Linked DNA regions of Mytilus edulis. The protein of the gene in region 2 purifies or fractionates together with the protein of the main gene of each other region. This does not show direct contact. Links are inferred from orthologs where the notes say so. Each region holds a gene or a part of one and is shown on either strand. Other genes may lie near its edges.

What was found. Proteins that work in one complex are often made in the same cells at the same time.
Region 1: the proteins of CD2 antigen cytoplasmic tail-binding protein 2 homolog (region 2) and E2F-associated phosphoprotein-like purify together in Homo sapiens (affinity purification with mass spectrometry; 3 studies listed by BioGRID and IntAct, counting the BioPlex papers as one, with this or other methods). This does not show direct contact. The link is inferred for Mytilus edulis from reciprocal best matches to the Homo sapiens genes CD2BP2 and EAPP.

What each region holds. Positions count from the first base shown.
Region 1 is NC_092346.1:9,474,885-9,482,021, reverse strand, and holds the start of E2F-associated phosphoprotein-like, read right to left. Parts: upstream 3,084-7,137; 5' UTR 2,965-3,083; coding exon 2,891-2,964; intron 186-2,890; coding exon 1-185. UniProt on the Homo sapiens protein: May play an important role in the fine-tuning of both major E2F1 activities, the regulation of the cell-cycle and the induction of apoptosis. Promotes S-phase entry, and inhibits p14(ARP) expression.
Region 2 is NC_092349.1:60,053,309-60,061,338, reverse strand, and holds the start of CD2 antigen cytoplasmic tail-binding protein 2 homolog, read left to right. Parts: upstream 1-4,950; 5' UTR 4,951-4,976; coding exon 4,977-5,145; intron 5,146-8,030. Other genes in the region: SANT and BTB domain regulator of class switch recombination-like, read right to left, coding at 265-305, 1,184-1,253, 1,734-1,899, 2,190-2,342. UniProt on the Homo sapiens protein: Involved in pre-mRNA splicing as component of the U5 snRNP complex that is involved in spliceosome assembly.

The sequences.
Region 1 (7,137 bases), on a different chromosome or scaffold from region 2:
TAGTTTCTGCAACATTACTTGATCTTTCATTTACCAGTCCTTTAATATGTTTGTTAAGTTCATTATTCATTTCCTTTTCAAAGTCATCTTCACTTGAAGAATCATGTCTTTGTTGGACTTTGGTCTGTAATTTACGCTTCTGTTCAGGTGTTCCATATAAAATAACCTCGATATCATCATCAGAACTAGTGAGAAAATAAATAATTTTTAAATAAAATTGAGAATGGAAATGGGGAATGTGCCAAAGAGACAACAACCCAACCATAGAAAAAAACAACAGCAGAAGGTCACCAACAGGTCTTCAATGTAGCGAGAAATTCCTGCACCCATAGGCGTCCTTCAACTGGCCCCTAAACAAATATATACTAGTTCAGTGATAATGAACGCCATACTAATTTCCAAATTGTACACAAGAAACTAAAATTAAAATAATACAAGACTAACAAAGGCCAGAGGCTCCTGACTTGGGACAGGCGCAAAAATGCGGCGGGTTAAACATGTTTGTGAGATCTCAACCCTCCCCCTATACCTCTAGCCAATGTAGAAAAGTAAACGCATAACAATATGCACATTAAAATTCAGTTCAAGAGAAGTCCGAGTCTGATGTCAGAAGATGTAACCAAAGAAAATAAACAAAATGACAATAATACATAAATAACAACAGACTACTAGCAGTTAACTGACATGCCAGCTCCAGACTTCAATTAAACTGACTGAAAGATTATGATTTCATCATATGAACATCAGGCACAATCCTTCCCGTTAGGGGTTTAGTATCATACCATCATAACATATATGAGAAGAACATAACCCATGTCATGCCAACAAAGGCATACATTGTAAAAGGATACATTGTACATGAAGGTCTAACATAGATCTATATATAATATATCATACTTCTATATGGCATTGACCAAGATCATGTTTTGTCTTACTTTGACTAATTGATGACTGATTGGTTGATGTTTAAACAAATAAGAACCCGTGGTCAAACTTTAAGCACTATTGCCTTGTGGTCAGTTTTTATAAGTGAAGGTGAGAACCATAAACCTTCTGGACTAAATCTTTACACTTTATCGATGTGTGTGATTGATGGTTTAGTCTTTAACACATAATTTCTTTTTAAAATTAATTGTTATTGGCTTTGAAGATGCAAGCTTTCAGAAACTGCAAGAACTCTTAGAACAGTCCTTTTATAAGTTTTTTTTGTGTGTTTTGTGTCAATATGATGATCATGAGTCCAGACATTTTCAACCGATTTTTACTGCTCTTGTGTTGTCACACCATTATCCAACATGTCCAAGGTGAGAGGAGGGTTTGGCACATCCACACTTGTTTAACCCTGTCACATTCTAATCTGTCGGTACAAAGTCATGACCTGCTACATTGTGTATTTATAATAATTTTGTTGTGTATAGGAAACATAATAGTGATGATTACCTAACTTGCACCCATTGTACGATTGATTTTTGCTTCTTTTGGTTGCTCTTACATTTGTACTTGACAAATACAGACTACCACAGAGTAGGTACATGTAGCCTGTTCAACTATTACATGTATATATTACCTAGTCAGAATTTGGAAATATGAAATAAAATCTATTGACATAAAAATATGTGCTTGAAACATATGAAAAAAAGGAAAGCAAATTTCAATTACCTGTGATTTTATCACATAACCATTGGCTGATCACATGATTTATTCTTTACAAGGAATGAATGAAAACAGAAGGCGATTTCTCGTCCAGAAATGGACAATAAACAAATAAGGTGTGGTATGATTGCCAATGAGAAAACTTTAACATGTTTAATCAGTCAGATTTGAAATGATGAGGACTCTTTTTATCAGCTAAAGAACAGTAACAATGATGATAGGAATAATCTAATTTAACTAGAATGTGACTGGTATGGCCAGACAAAAAACTACTGTGCAAAGTTTTCGCTGGACCTAATACATTCAGTTATTGAATCTGGTTCATTACATGTACTTGGAAGAAGAAGAAGCCTAGGACGTATGTATAGGATGTATGTATGGGCCGTCCAAAACATTCTGTATACATTGACATAAATTATTTGTGATACATTTTTGTTCTTGCAAAGGGGGATATAGTTTAATGTTTTGATATATCAATTCATTTCCTATTTTCCCCAATGTGAAGTAGAAATCTGAACATATATCATTTTACATTGTATATATGTAATTTGTAAATAACAGTTTTTATTTTTAACTACGTATGTCTGTATGATAGTAACGTGACGGTACCCAAATTGCACCTATTTTGACAGTTTTTTCATCTACGTTTTTTTATGATGAAGACGAAAATGTCCATTCTGTGTTAATTTTGTAGCCCTATCCTTCTTTATTATAAAGGTACACCAATTTGATTTTTATTCCATATGGAATCATAGAAAAATTGGTCTGAACTTACCTCCAAACCATCCCAGATTCTGTAATGAGGAGTACCCAAATTGCATCCATGCTTAAATTCGCATCGTCAAAAGTCGAATAACAGAGCTTTTGTTTATTTTTTTCAAATATTTTGAACAATTGGATATTTGTCCATGCTTACTCTTCATATTTTAAGAAATGGATACTTGAAACGTATTGTATTTGTTAATTTTAAAAAGATGACGTTTTGATGACGTCGCATGGCGACGTTTCAGTACATTTTGCTTTTTCAGTAAACACTTCATCTGTTGATAAATATTGTGAACGTTTTGTGTATATCTAAATATTTTTACCTATGTTGAAAGACGTGCATAGTATCAAATCATAAAAATACCATTTTTTTAGTCTCTAGGAAATCTTGTTAGATTTTCGCTGCTATTTTTGATAAATACATGTAGGTGCAATTTGGGTACTCGGTGCAATTTGGGTACCGTTACGTTACCTATCGCAAGGCTCTTGGTCACTGTCATCTTCAAAGTCATAGTAGTCGTAGTCCCTATCAGTAATTCTATTCATTTCAAATCAATATCAATAACAACTTTTCTTCAATTTCTGTTTTTTTCTGCAAAATCAAAATACAATTTGTTTCCCAAAATCGTATCTTCAATGTAAATCTGTTAATTCATGTGTAAACGTATTTTCACTCCACTATAAACGCCTAAGTGATTCCCACAAAAATAAAGTAATACGTTCACAGATGCGGACTGTTTTTTGCTTTCCGAAATAAATAATTTTGATAGCACATTGAGACGACGATGAGTATCATTGATGACTCATGCCTAATGACAAATTAAAAAAAAGATAGCTAGACGATATTATAAAAAATGTTAAAACTAGACAAAAAGTCATTTCAGTCCAACTATCATAGAAAAAACTGAGAAATACATTATTGACCCCTGATTAATTATTACTTTTATATGAGTTGAATTACACTGAACGGTTTTATTTTTCATTAAATTTTGTTTAAACATCAGAACATAGACTTCCGCAATAGTAAAATAATAATTATGTTAAAAAAATAAAGAAAACAAATACACATGGATATATTCTGAACCTGAGTTCTGTCTGTTCTGAATCTGAGATATATAGTATCTATAATACTAAAATTACGAGGTCCAATTTGTCAGCCGTCATCACGTAAAAACGACGAATCACAGAATTCAACTTTATATATAACTAATATAGTACAAAGGTGTAGATTAAAAATTACACCACTCCAGGCCCTTTTGTTTTCCACGTAATTAATATTGCCAATAATTAAGAAGTTCCGGGTCGAGTCCGCTACCGATACCAATAATATATTCACCTGTTACCTATTACCTTATCTGTACGTTCCGCATCTGACAGGCGCACCACCAAACGTTGTATTCAGGATTAATATGCTATATACACGGGTCATAACCACAGGGTTGACACTACTAAATTGTCAAATTGTTACCTATTGTATTATTTTAATCAGTAAGACTTTCTAAGATAACAATACGAATACTAAAAATCTGGACTAAAAATAAGGCGTATAGGTACAGTTTTCAATTTGTTAGTGGGTATGACGTAAAACAGCGAAGCAAAGAATTCAACTTTATTTATAACTTATATAGGACAATGCTGTTGATTAAAAAATACTCCATTCCAGGACCTTTTGTTTTCCAAATAATTAATATTATTGTTTCAGTTCGACGGGTTCAAACAGAAAGACTTGAAAGCAGAGAAAAACTGTGTATCTTATAATCGGAATGACTTTATCAGATGACAATACTAATACTAAAATAAGGCTTGCGCATAGTTATATACTTTAATTAAGTCACGGACCCGTGATATCACGGGTGTGTTCTAGTATCAGTATAATAGTCCCAGTTAGGACACCGAACAATAATACCTGTTAATTTGTTTGCATCAAGTCTGTCAATGCCATTATGATGATTTCATGCAGCTTATATTTCATAAAACTTCTCCAATGTGGATTTTAACATAGAGTACATTTTTTTTTCATTTCGAAACAAGATACATTTATTTGCATTGTATTCCTGTCAGTGTAATGTTGTCATTTTCTTGTTATATTTAACATTGCCATAAAAACGGAAGGTTTCGCATGACACAAAACCTGGTTCAACCCACCATTTTTTTTCTTAAAATGTCCTGTACCAAGTCAGGAAAATGGCCATTATAGTTCGTTTCTGTGTGTGTAACATTTTAATGTTGTGTCGTTGTTTTCCTCCTATATTTGATGCGTTTCCCTCAGTTTTAGTTTGTAACCCGGATTTGGTTTTTTTTTCTCAATCGATTTATGAGTTTCGAACAGCGGTATACTACTGCTGCCTTCATTTGGAGAATAAAACTTATTTTTGGCTAGTTTATATAGCAAGCTTTTATATTTTTGTTAATAATTTTTATCGAGCTTTTTAGTTAAAAAAATATACAAAAGAGCACCTGTTAAACTTATATCATCAGGACGCTCAGTTGTTTTTGAAAACGGAAATTTATTTGTTACGATAAGCGACATTTTTCAGCATTCAGTTACCAATTTCTTATAGTCGATGTAAAATAAACTGAAAGCGCTATCAGCTGTTTTTGGCATGTGATTCTTTGTCATTTTCTGTTTTATATTTTTCAAATATATATATATATATATATATAATTGAGAATGGAAATGGTTAATGTGTCAAAGAGACAACAACCCATTCCGTAAAACTTTTATATTGTTAAATGAATGCTTGCACGTAGTATTTGCTTCATTCAACAGCGAAAGTGCTACATATTATTCTTTAGTTTTCTATGTTGTGTCATGTGTACTATTGTTTAATTGTCTGTTTGTCTTTTTCATTTTTAGCCATGGCGTTGTCAGTTTATTTTCGATTTATGAGTTTGACTGTCCCTCTGGTATCTTTCGTCCCTCTTTTATGTGTTATCATAGTTCCACCTGCCAAACTGTAACTAACTCCTATTTTATAATTTGTTAAAGTGTTAAAAGGAATAAAATAATTTCATTTGTTTTTATAAAAGATGACGATTCTTCACTATGTAGTTGATATTTTTTTATCTAAATAATCATCGGCAAGAAATTTCTAAATATACTGCAGACAATTTACCCAAGTGAAATTACTCAAAATAAATCAAACATAAAAAATAAGTACTGTCCTTTCTTAGATTTAGATATTTCATTTTTTCACGGGAATTTCTTCCCAAAAATTTACGACAAATTGGCGATTTTTCGTTCCTTATTGTTAATTTTCATTTTTGGATAGTGATGTTACCTTGGTACCTCGTATTGTAGAAAAATAATTGCAAAATTGGAAATCTTTGATCTCTTTTTATTGTTCTTAAGTTGATGAAATACCTCTATAGGGGAGAATGGGGTAAGTGGACACATTAAGCGTATATACACGTTTCAGCTCGCTGGGACATGGATGATATTTCCACCTCCGTTCCAATAAATTTCTAAATATATTTTATTTTGAGAAAATGCCATTTATAATCTTCAGGTTTATCGAAACACGGGAACAGCTTAAGGTTTCAAAAAGCTAACAAGTTTCTGACACATAATAAATGTGGTCTTAGAAGTTTAATTCTGGACTCTTGAAACTCAATGGGGACCATCTAAAAACGGGAACCAAAATCTAAATACACGGTCAGATACAGCATATTAAAGAACCCCAAGAATTTAAGACTTTGAATTAAACCACAATGAAATTGATGTAGAAAAAAATTAAACAAATTAAACAAAGTATAGAAAAGTTTTTGGGCTCGTCATTTCGATCTAAACGGTTAGGAATATAACCCCAAAATCAATCCCAACCTTCCTTTTGTGGCATGAAACCTTGTGCAACAATTTCATAGAGATCCAAAGACTTATTCTTAAGTTATTGTATGGAACCAAGTGTTTTGACGACGACGACCGGACGAAACCGTCATAACATTACACGACCTCGAGAAGTTTGCGATCGTATAAAAGTATTAAATTTTGAATGGTGCGGATCCAGAATTTTGAAAAACGGGTTAAGGAGCCTCAACGTTAGGAATGGAACAGTCTATGCATTTACCATATATATATAACTTCATAACGGGTGCCGGGTACCCTATGACTACCGCCTAAGTCCGCATATGATTTTAAAAAATCTTGTATGATGGTTTAAAATCTCTCATAATTATGAAATGGTCTGTTGTATTATTTGTATTTTTATCATATCATAGCCATTTTATGCAAATGTGTTTGAGCAAATAAAAACTATGTATTTTCACGTATCAATAATTCTAACCAAGTGTCCCAGATATTAGACATTTTACCTCCCTGTGCAAAGTCCTTTCTCAATCTATCAAAATACATATATCGTTGATTTTGTTATACTCAATAATATATGCTGTAACAAAATCCGGTAATCCTCAAAAAGTTGATGGTATTCCGTAACTAAAGAAGAATAACAATGGTCATGGTAAGAATGTTAAAATCCTTCGATTGTTAATTTATTCTATTACTCAGTTTCATTATGAATAAGAAATTTCATGGCAACTGACAAACAACACGCCACGAATATCTGTTGAAACAGAATGAATTTCAAAGTGATGGAAAAGACATCGCTTTATCATTATACGACAACCTTAGCATTGTACGGAAGCCGATAAGGGCCATTCAAAACAGGGCCGTAACTAGGGTTCAAATTCAGGGGAGGCAGGTTTTTTTTTCTCCAAGTAAAA
Region 2 (8,030 bases):
AAATTTCGGATATTTTCAGTTCTTTGATATCTAGAGATTTGAAGAGATTTCCCCTTTATAATATTGGTCTCTGCTTGAATACATAAACAAGCTCTGTGTAAATCTTGTCACATAATATTTATTTTACCATCAGGTTCTATTTTTAATTAGGGTTTTGCAAAAAAGAATATCATTTAATCAAAAATTTTAAAATCTATAAATGTTTGTTTCCTTCGTTCTGTTTTAAGTAATTATAACAGCCATATTGGTTGATTTACTACTTACAGCTTTTAGCTTCATCACAGACATGTATAGTCATAACAGGGCTGTAAAAGACAACAATTATTAAAAAATTATAGTCACAAAAGCTGTAGTATTCGTATTGGTTAATATTGTTTTTCATAGAAATAAAAAAAAAATCCCTTATAACTACAGAATAACATTCCTGTAAATTTAAAAATCAATGTGTACATTTAGGAACATGTTTTAAAAATGCAAATAATCAAAAGTTTACTGAAATGAAAAATTATGAATATGGCTATTAAGTTACAAATATGGCATGATAATGCACATCTAAGAACCCAAAACATATCTTGCCTAGAGAATTAAAAGTAGTTTTCATTACAACAATGCTTAGAGAATTAAAAGTAGTTTTCATTACAATAATGCTTAGAGAATTAAAAGTAGTTTTCGTTACAATAATGCTATCTGAACCAAATTAAGCATTAATATTAACAAAGCATACATTTTTATCTAGCAGCTAATAAAAGTTGGTACTTATTTATAACTTTCTTCTGAAAGCCGTTTTGAGCTAATCATATGGTGTGGACAACTAGCATTTTATGTAAACCTGAAGAAGTGTATTTTGTTTGGTTGCTGTTACATTGACACTTACTGTAGATCTGATTTATTTCTACCATATTTTGAGTTATTCATCCATTATTCAAACTTAGGCCACAATTAAAAATATTTTGGTTTGCCCAAACCCTACCCAAAGGTTGAAACAGTGGGTAGGTAGGTAGGCATTTTCTTTTTTTTTTTTCAAAAAGAGAAATTGAAGTATCGGGTGTTTATTATTCTTCATGCCTATCTGATTAAAAAAAAACTTCTTCAAATCAGGACAATAAAAGAATTTGAGTAGGCAGCTTTTTTCTGGGTAGGTAGCATTTGGGCAAACAAACCTATTTTTTTTTTATGGCCTTACCCTTGATCATCACTGTTTCGTCCACTTTGTTTACTTTTTGATTCATTTGTATCTTTGCTATCTTTATCTCCTATTAAATATAAAATATTGATCATGTAAAACAAAGCAAATTAGAGCACAGAAATTCTATATATATCATTCTAGTGTTATTATTAGTCAATATTTGATATGGTTTTGAAGTGACTGATTTGTGCTTAAAATAGCAGATCTGGTAGCAGAAATTCGGAAAAATAAAGTTGTAATGTAGGTTTTTAACAAGGAGTCTAATTTTCACGATTTATTGTGCAAAATCTGTTAGCAATTTAAAATCACATTTTTCTTGTCATTGATTCTTATTTACTTCAATCATGTTAAAGAACAAATTGATATTTCCATGATTTATCTTTTCATAAAATTAGTGAAAAATAAATTTTGGGCAAAAACTTTCCACTTTACAATACAATTATGTTTCCTGCTTATTTTTTATATTCCTTTTGGTTAAGGCAGCAAAACTGAAATAATCAATTCCTCAGCTTTTTAACACATTTGACTCTAATATATAATTGCCCACCTTTCTGTGATGCAGATCCTGGTAAACTACCTCCAGTTTTACTGCTAAGATCAGATTCTGTCAGACTGACTTGAGATGAAGCTCCAGGAATGGTGTAATTTTTCTCAAACTGATTCATAGCATATACATCCCCTGTCAGCAATAACTCTTCATATCGTCTTGCAACCTGAATTGAATTTAAACCAATGAAAAATAACATAACAAATGTTTTAGTGAACAAATTCCAATATTTTCATCTGAGTTTGTACCTGGTTACAGCTAACTATAATAAGAAAAGACTGTCTGTGGAATGAAAAATCTTAAGTTTTTACTGCTGTGAATTAATTCTTTTTTGTTAGGATTTAAATCCACAGTATCTTCAATAGTGTTGCAAGTTATAAAAGCTTTTGTATTCATATCTGGAGAGATGACAATTATTTCCTATACACATGTACACATGTATCTGAAAAGTACTACCTGTCCAGGAGAAGATCCAGGTATAAGCCTTGCAATAGCTTCCCAATTCTTTGTCTGTAACTCATTAAAATCTTGTGATGATATCAGTGTTTTAAGGATAAGGTCAAGGGCAACTCCCACACGAGATGTTGGTTCCAAGACATTCATTATCATTCTCTAATCTATAAAAGAAAAATTATAAAATTGAATACTAGGTTTGAAACATTTACAATGTAAAGCAGGAATCACCAGACTATTTAAGGATTGTGCTCCTCCACTCCTTTAATATTCAAACACCATTCTTGCATAGCTAGCACAACTTCTGATTTTCTCAGCACAATTAAGAGAGTATAATGGAGAAGGATGATGAAATTTTTTTTTTTTAGTAACTATGATAAGTTTTTAATATTTATCATTAAGAGTTTAAGAATTATACATTTCCGTGAATGCACAATGTAAACACACAAAAACATCCATGTAAATTTTACACCATAATGTATTGCATAAAAGGTATAAAAATTTTCAACACCAAAAATGATCATTAAGAATGACAGATTGTTTTGTTTGAAGAATGTAGTATGACCAGCTGGGCTAAAGACCTGAAAAGACCTGAAGATATATGACTCAAGTTATTCAAATTGCAATAACTTTTTTATAATTTAATGGATTTTCATCAAGTTAAAATTTTATAAAATGTTAATATCCATATTTCATTAAAATTAAAATGTTATAAATAAAAAACAATTTTTGATGTTAAAAGTTGGACCTAAACAGAGAAATGAAAAGACCTGAACAGACCTGAAAATATATGGTTGAACTTGTTCTAACTTCAATAACTTTTTTAATATTCAATGGATAGCTTTCAACTTTAGATTTCTGTAGTTTTATTTCAGACAATTTGCAAGGTTTGTTTTGTTTTACTTGTGTTTTTGTTTTATGATTCTTTTTGATTCTGGTCAATAATTTCTTGCTTAACAATATATGACTTATTAAAGTCATATTTTGTCTTGCTTTAAAGGGAGACAAATCCTATATATAGCTAAAACTTACAAATTTAGACCTCTACAAGTCAAAAGCAGATTCAGACTTATTTATGTCTGAGCTCTGACTGATTAATATGTCAGTTCATGTGAAATATTCTTTAAATCAATCATGTTGTCAGTATTAAAGAGTTTAGCAGTAATTCGGTACTGATTTTTATTGTATGTTTTTATGAACCTATATTAACAGTCAGAGTTCAGACATAAACAAGTCGATTTTTCTTTTGGACTTAAAGAAGTCAAAACATGTATTTATTATAAAAATGTGTTTTCAATTTTAGACTTATCTAAGTCAGAAAATGACAGACTTGTTTAGGTCTATTTATGTTGATGAAAAAACTTAATTTTACTTGCAAATTGGTGGCCAAAAGTACACCACCTATGACTGCAAAAACCTGTCGGAAAGTTCACAAGGACTTTAGCTATCTATATTTAAGAATCTTATTGAACATCCTTACTAAACACAGATGTTTTACCTCATTAACTGTGGTTCCAGATGGTTGCATTGTAAGTTTAATTAACATTATCTCTGATTTTTTAGACTCTCATTCATATTTTTCTTTAGAAGACAAAGCCTTGTCTTTCAATGTTGCCATTATTTGATTTAGATGTATGACCTGTTTATAAATATGCATGGGTCTTGCAGTTAACCAATTTTAATAGGGGGCAGATTTTCACAATGGAGGTACAAATGGTGTGAAAAATACGGGAAAACATCATTAAAACAGAGCAATTGCTTGGAAACATGCATAGGATTTCCCATACTTTCATACTATTTCCACCTCTTTCCAAAAAATCTGCCCCCTATCAAATATGGCCGAACTAACCGTGAAGAGCCCTATATTTGCAACTTTTTGATTCTGATCAATACTTCTTGCTTAACAATATATGACTTATTAAAGTCGTATTTTGTCTTGCTTTAAAGGGAGACAAATCCTAAAACTTACAAATTTAGACCTCTATGAGTCAAAAGCAGATTCAGACTTATTTATGTCTGAGCTCTGACTTATTAATATGTCAGTTCATGTGATATATTCAATATGATCAAGAGACAAGATAAAATAAAGAGAGAGCGCAAGCTGATAAAACTGATGTATAATTCCAGCAATGGAAAACAAATAGTGATAAGGAGTGTACTTAGTATAAGGGCTTGATAAAATCTGTGTCAGTTCTGTTCCTAGGGTATGACTTTGTAGGGGCACAAAGTTTCCATAGAACTATCATTTGACTATTGGACGCTGCAAAAATTTTAACTATTGATTAATACTACTAGAAGAGTCAAATACTTAAAAGGTCTTCATGCATAAGCCTCACGGTCAATGCATCAATATATTTTTATTTATTGAAATAATTTCCCAGACCCACTTGGATTTTTTTAAAACGTTTGCCTAAATCAATGTACAAACTGTAGACACTTGATTTGTCTTTAAGATTTATCCTCAATAAATACATTTGACTAGTATTTATTACGTGAAAACGCCTTTAATGGGATGAAGTGTCCTAAAAACGACCGTTCTACTCCAGTAACCAAGTGCGTTCTGCCATTTTTAAACAATTCGAAATTTTATTGATCACAATGGATAAAACGAATCAAAATTTATTTGATCTTTTTCGTTAATTCTTTTAAGAATGAGATTGAAAATATAAAAAAGATAAAGTTTAGAGTCGAAAATTATGTACCTTTCCGTTTATATATGAATAAACAATCATATTTTCAATATGACTAAGTTCGTTTTCTCTGAAAATCCAGAATCTGAAAATTCTAAAAATGTCGAAACGAAAACGATTTGAACAAGACCGCGAAGAGGATTTGAGAGATTTCGAAGATTTAGACGACGAAGCAGCCCGGAGATTCAAAGATAAACATTCCTTAGATAGTGACGAAGAAGATGAAAACACTGGAAAATATGACATATTGGATGAAGATGATATTGAAGGTTTGCAAGCAACTCGGAATGACATTCGTATCTATCGGACTTGTCCCTGTCTTGTTTTTATCAAGATCTTCTTCTTCTTCTTCTTCCAATAATTTGCATACCACCTCTGGTGTATTATCGCAAATGACTATTTACACAAATCCGGTTAAAAGCCATCGTGGTGTTATATACAATTAAAACTGAAATATCTTACATGAAGCAGGTGTCTGGAGGCTGTCTTTGAATCCTGCCAAAGTGGAAGCTGTGACGACAGCAGATCATCATGCCAGATGGTAGTTCATTCCACTGACGAATTGAAGGGGGTCTCATTGAGGGGTTCTGATCCCGCTTACTGTTTTGTCAGATTCCTGTATCCCGCTTACACTATGTACCTAAGCAATTCTCATTTTTTTGTAATTTTCCGTGTCCCGCTAGACCTTAATTCCCGTTTTCACGGCACAATAATTTGACTTTCCCGTTTCACGCTCAGGGCCGTAACTAGGGTTCCAATTCAGGGGAGGCAGGGGTTTGGGCCCGCCGATTGAGGCCCCTAAGAGAGGGGGTTTGGGGGGGCACAGCCCCTCGCCAAATTTTTTCTCAGTATAATGACTAAAAATGACCCGTTTTCCTTCTATTTCCTTTCATTAAGAAACATCAGTATTGCTTGAACCAGGACGCAATTTTTATGCAAAAACAAGCTGAGATTGCTGTTCGGGGTGAGCCAAGGCCCCGTCTTGAAGGCCGTACTTTGACCTATAATTATTAACATTATATACATTGTGACCGCAGATTTTTTTCTCAATAAACTTGAATCAGTGGCTAAAAATGACCCGTTTTCCTTCGATTTCCTTACTTTAAGAAACATCAGTATTGCTGGATCCTGGAAGCAATTTTTATGCAATCAATTATCATCTGTATTTAAAGATATTTTTGTTAGAAATCAAACTGGTAAGTAAAAAAAACATATCAATCGATATCATAGAACGCAAGATATCTTTTTTATCGAGGACCTTGAATTTCAATATTGTTGAAAGCTAAACAGACATGTATATAACTATAACCAGTGACTTTGAAAGTTTTTATACTAGTATATACTTACAAGTTAGTATAGAAAGTCCCTGCTACAACGAATGGGAGTGTTTAACTACTAAGGCATTAGTCCGAGATTACTATCAAAAATCCGGAAAATGACATATATCACGAATCATGAGAACACTGTTAAAACTATAAACTTAGGTTGTTTATAATATAAATTCAAGTTCTTCGTGTACATATTGTCAATATTTCATTTTATTACTTGAAAAAAAAATTGGTGTAGAGAATTCAGGGGAGGCGAGGCAGTTGCCTCCCCTGCCTCTTAGGTAGTTACGGCCCTGACGCTTACGAAAAAAGCGGCAATCCCGCGTCACGCTAAGACCCCAATGAGACCCACATTGAAGATGGAAAAAATGATTGCTGGTGGTTTTGATCATAGCACTATTTTCAGTCTTGATACATATTTCAGATATACATTTTTGAAAAAGCACCAAAAATATGCATAAATATTAATAATGACTGTTCCGTAGTACCACACTTTTCTAACATGTCTAAGTGTGATGAAAACGGGTTGCACTAATGACAGGATGACTGACCGGCTAGTGACAGGACGGTTGACCGGATGAGACAAAAATAGTCATAAGTTTTTTGTTATTTGGTAGATTTTTTAAATATTTACAGACTTTAAAGATATCAAACTATATTTTATGAAAACAAAACAAACCAGATGCTCCGCAGGGCGCAGCTTTATACGACCGCAGAGGTTGAACATTGAATGGTTGGGGCAAGTATGGACACAACATTCAAGCTGGATTCAGCTCTAAATTTGGATTGTGATGAAATAGTTGACACAGCATAGGTTTCTGCATTGTTCTTACACAGAATGAATGTGGTCTAATGAACTTAAAATATTTTTTTTGCCTTTGAGCAATTCACTATGCTGTTGAATATTAATCCTCTCAAAAAAATGTTTGAAGAAATTTTCTTTTTATTTATGACATCTGAAATGAGAAAAATTTACCCCCCCCCCTTTTTTTTCACATCCCCCTTTCCCTTTTTCTAAAACTGATCTCAATTCAAATTTCTAATGGAGTTTGCAACAATAACTACTCATTTAAATACATCATAAAATATTAAAATGTAAAATAAAGTGGTTGTTATCACTGAATGGTAAAGATTGTTTTAATTTATCAGTTGGTAGTAAAAGTGAATATACATTATATATTGTATAAAACAATAATTTAACTTGATTCAACTACTATTCTGGACAAAGGAAGATAACTTCAATTCAAAATTTCTTGCTATTGCACAATATTGTGCAATTAGATATTTCTTGCTATTGCGCAATACTGTGCAATTGAAAATATTTGCTATTGCACAATACTGTGAAATTGAAGATTTCTTGCTATTGCGCAATACTGTGCAATTGAAAATTTCTTGTAATTGCACAATACTGTGCAATTGAAGATTTCTTGCTATTGCTGAATACTGTGCAATTGAAAATTTCTTGCTATTGTACAATACTTAATATAATAATTTTGGATCCTGATTTGAACCAACTTGAAAACTGGGCCCATAATCAAAAATCTAAGTACATGTTTAGATTCAGCATATCAAAAAAGTCCAAGAATTCAATTTTTGTTAAAATCAAACTTAGTTTAATTTTGGACCCTTTTGACTTTAATGTAGACCAATTTGAAAACGGGACCAAAAATTAAGAATCTACATACACAGTAAGATTTGGCGTATCAAAGAACCCCAATTATTCAATTTTTGATGAAATCAAACGTTTAATTTTGGACCCTGATTTGGACCAACTTGAAAACTGGGCCTATAATCAAAAATCTAAGTACATTTTTAGATTCAGCATA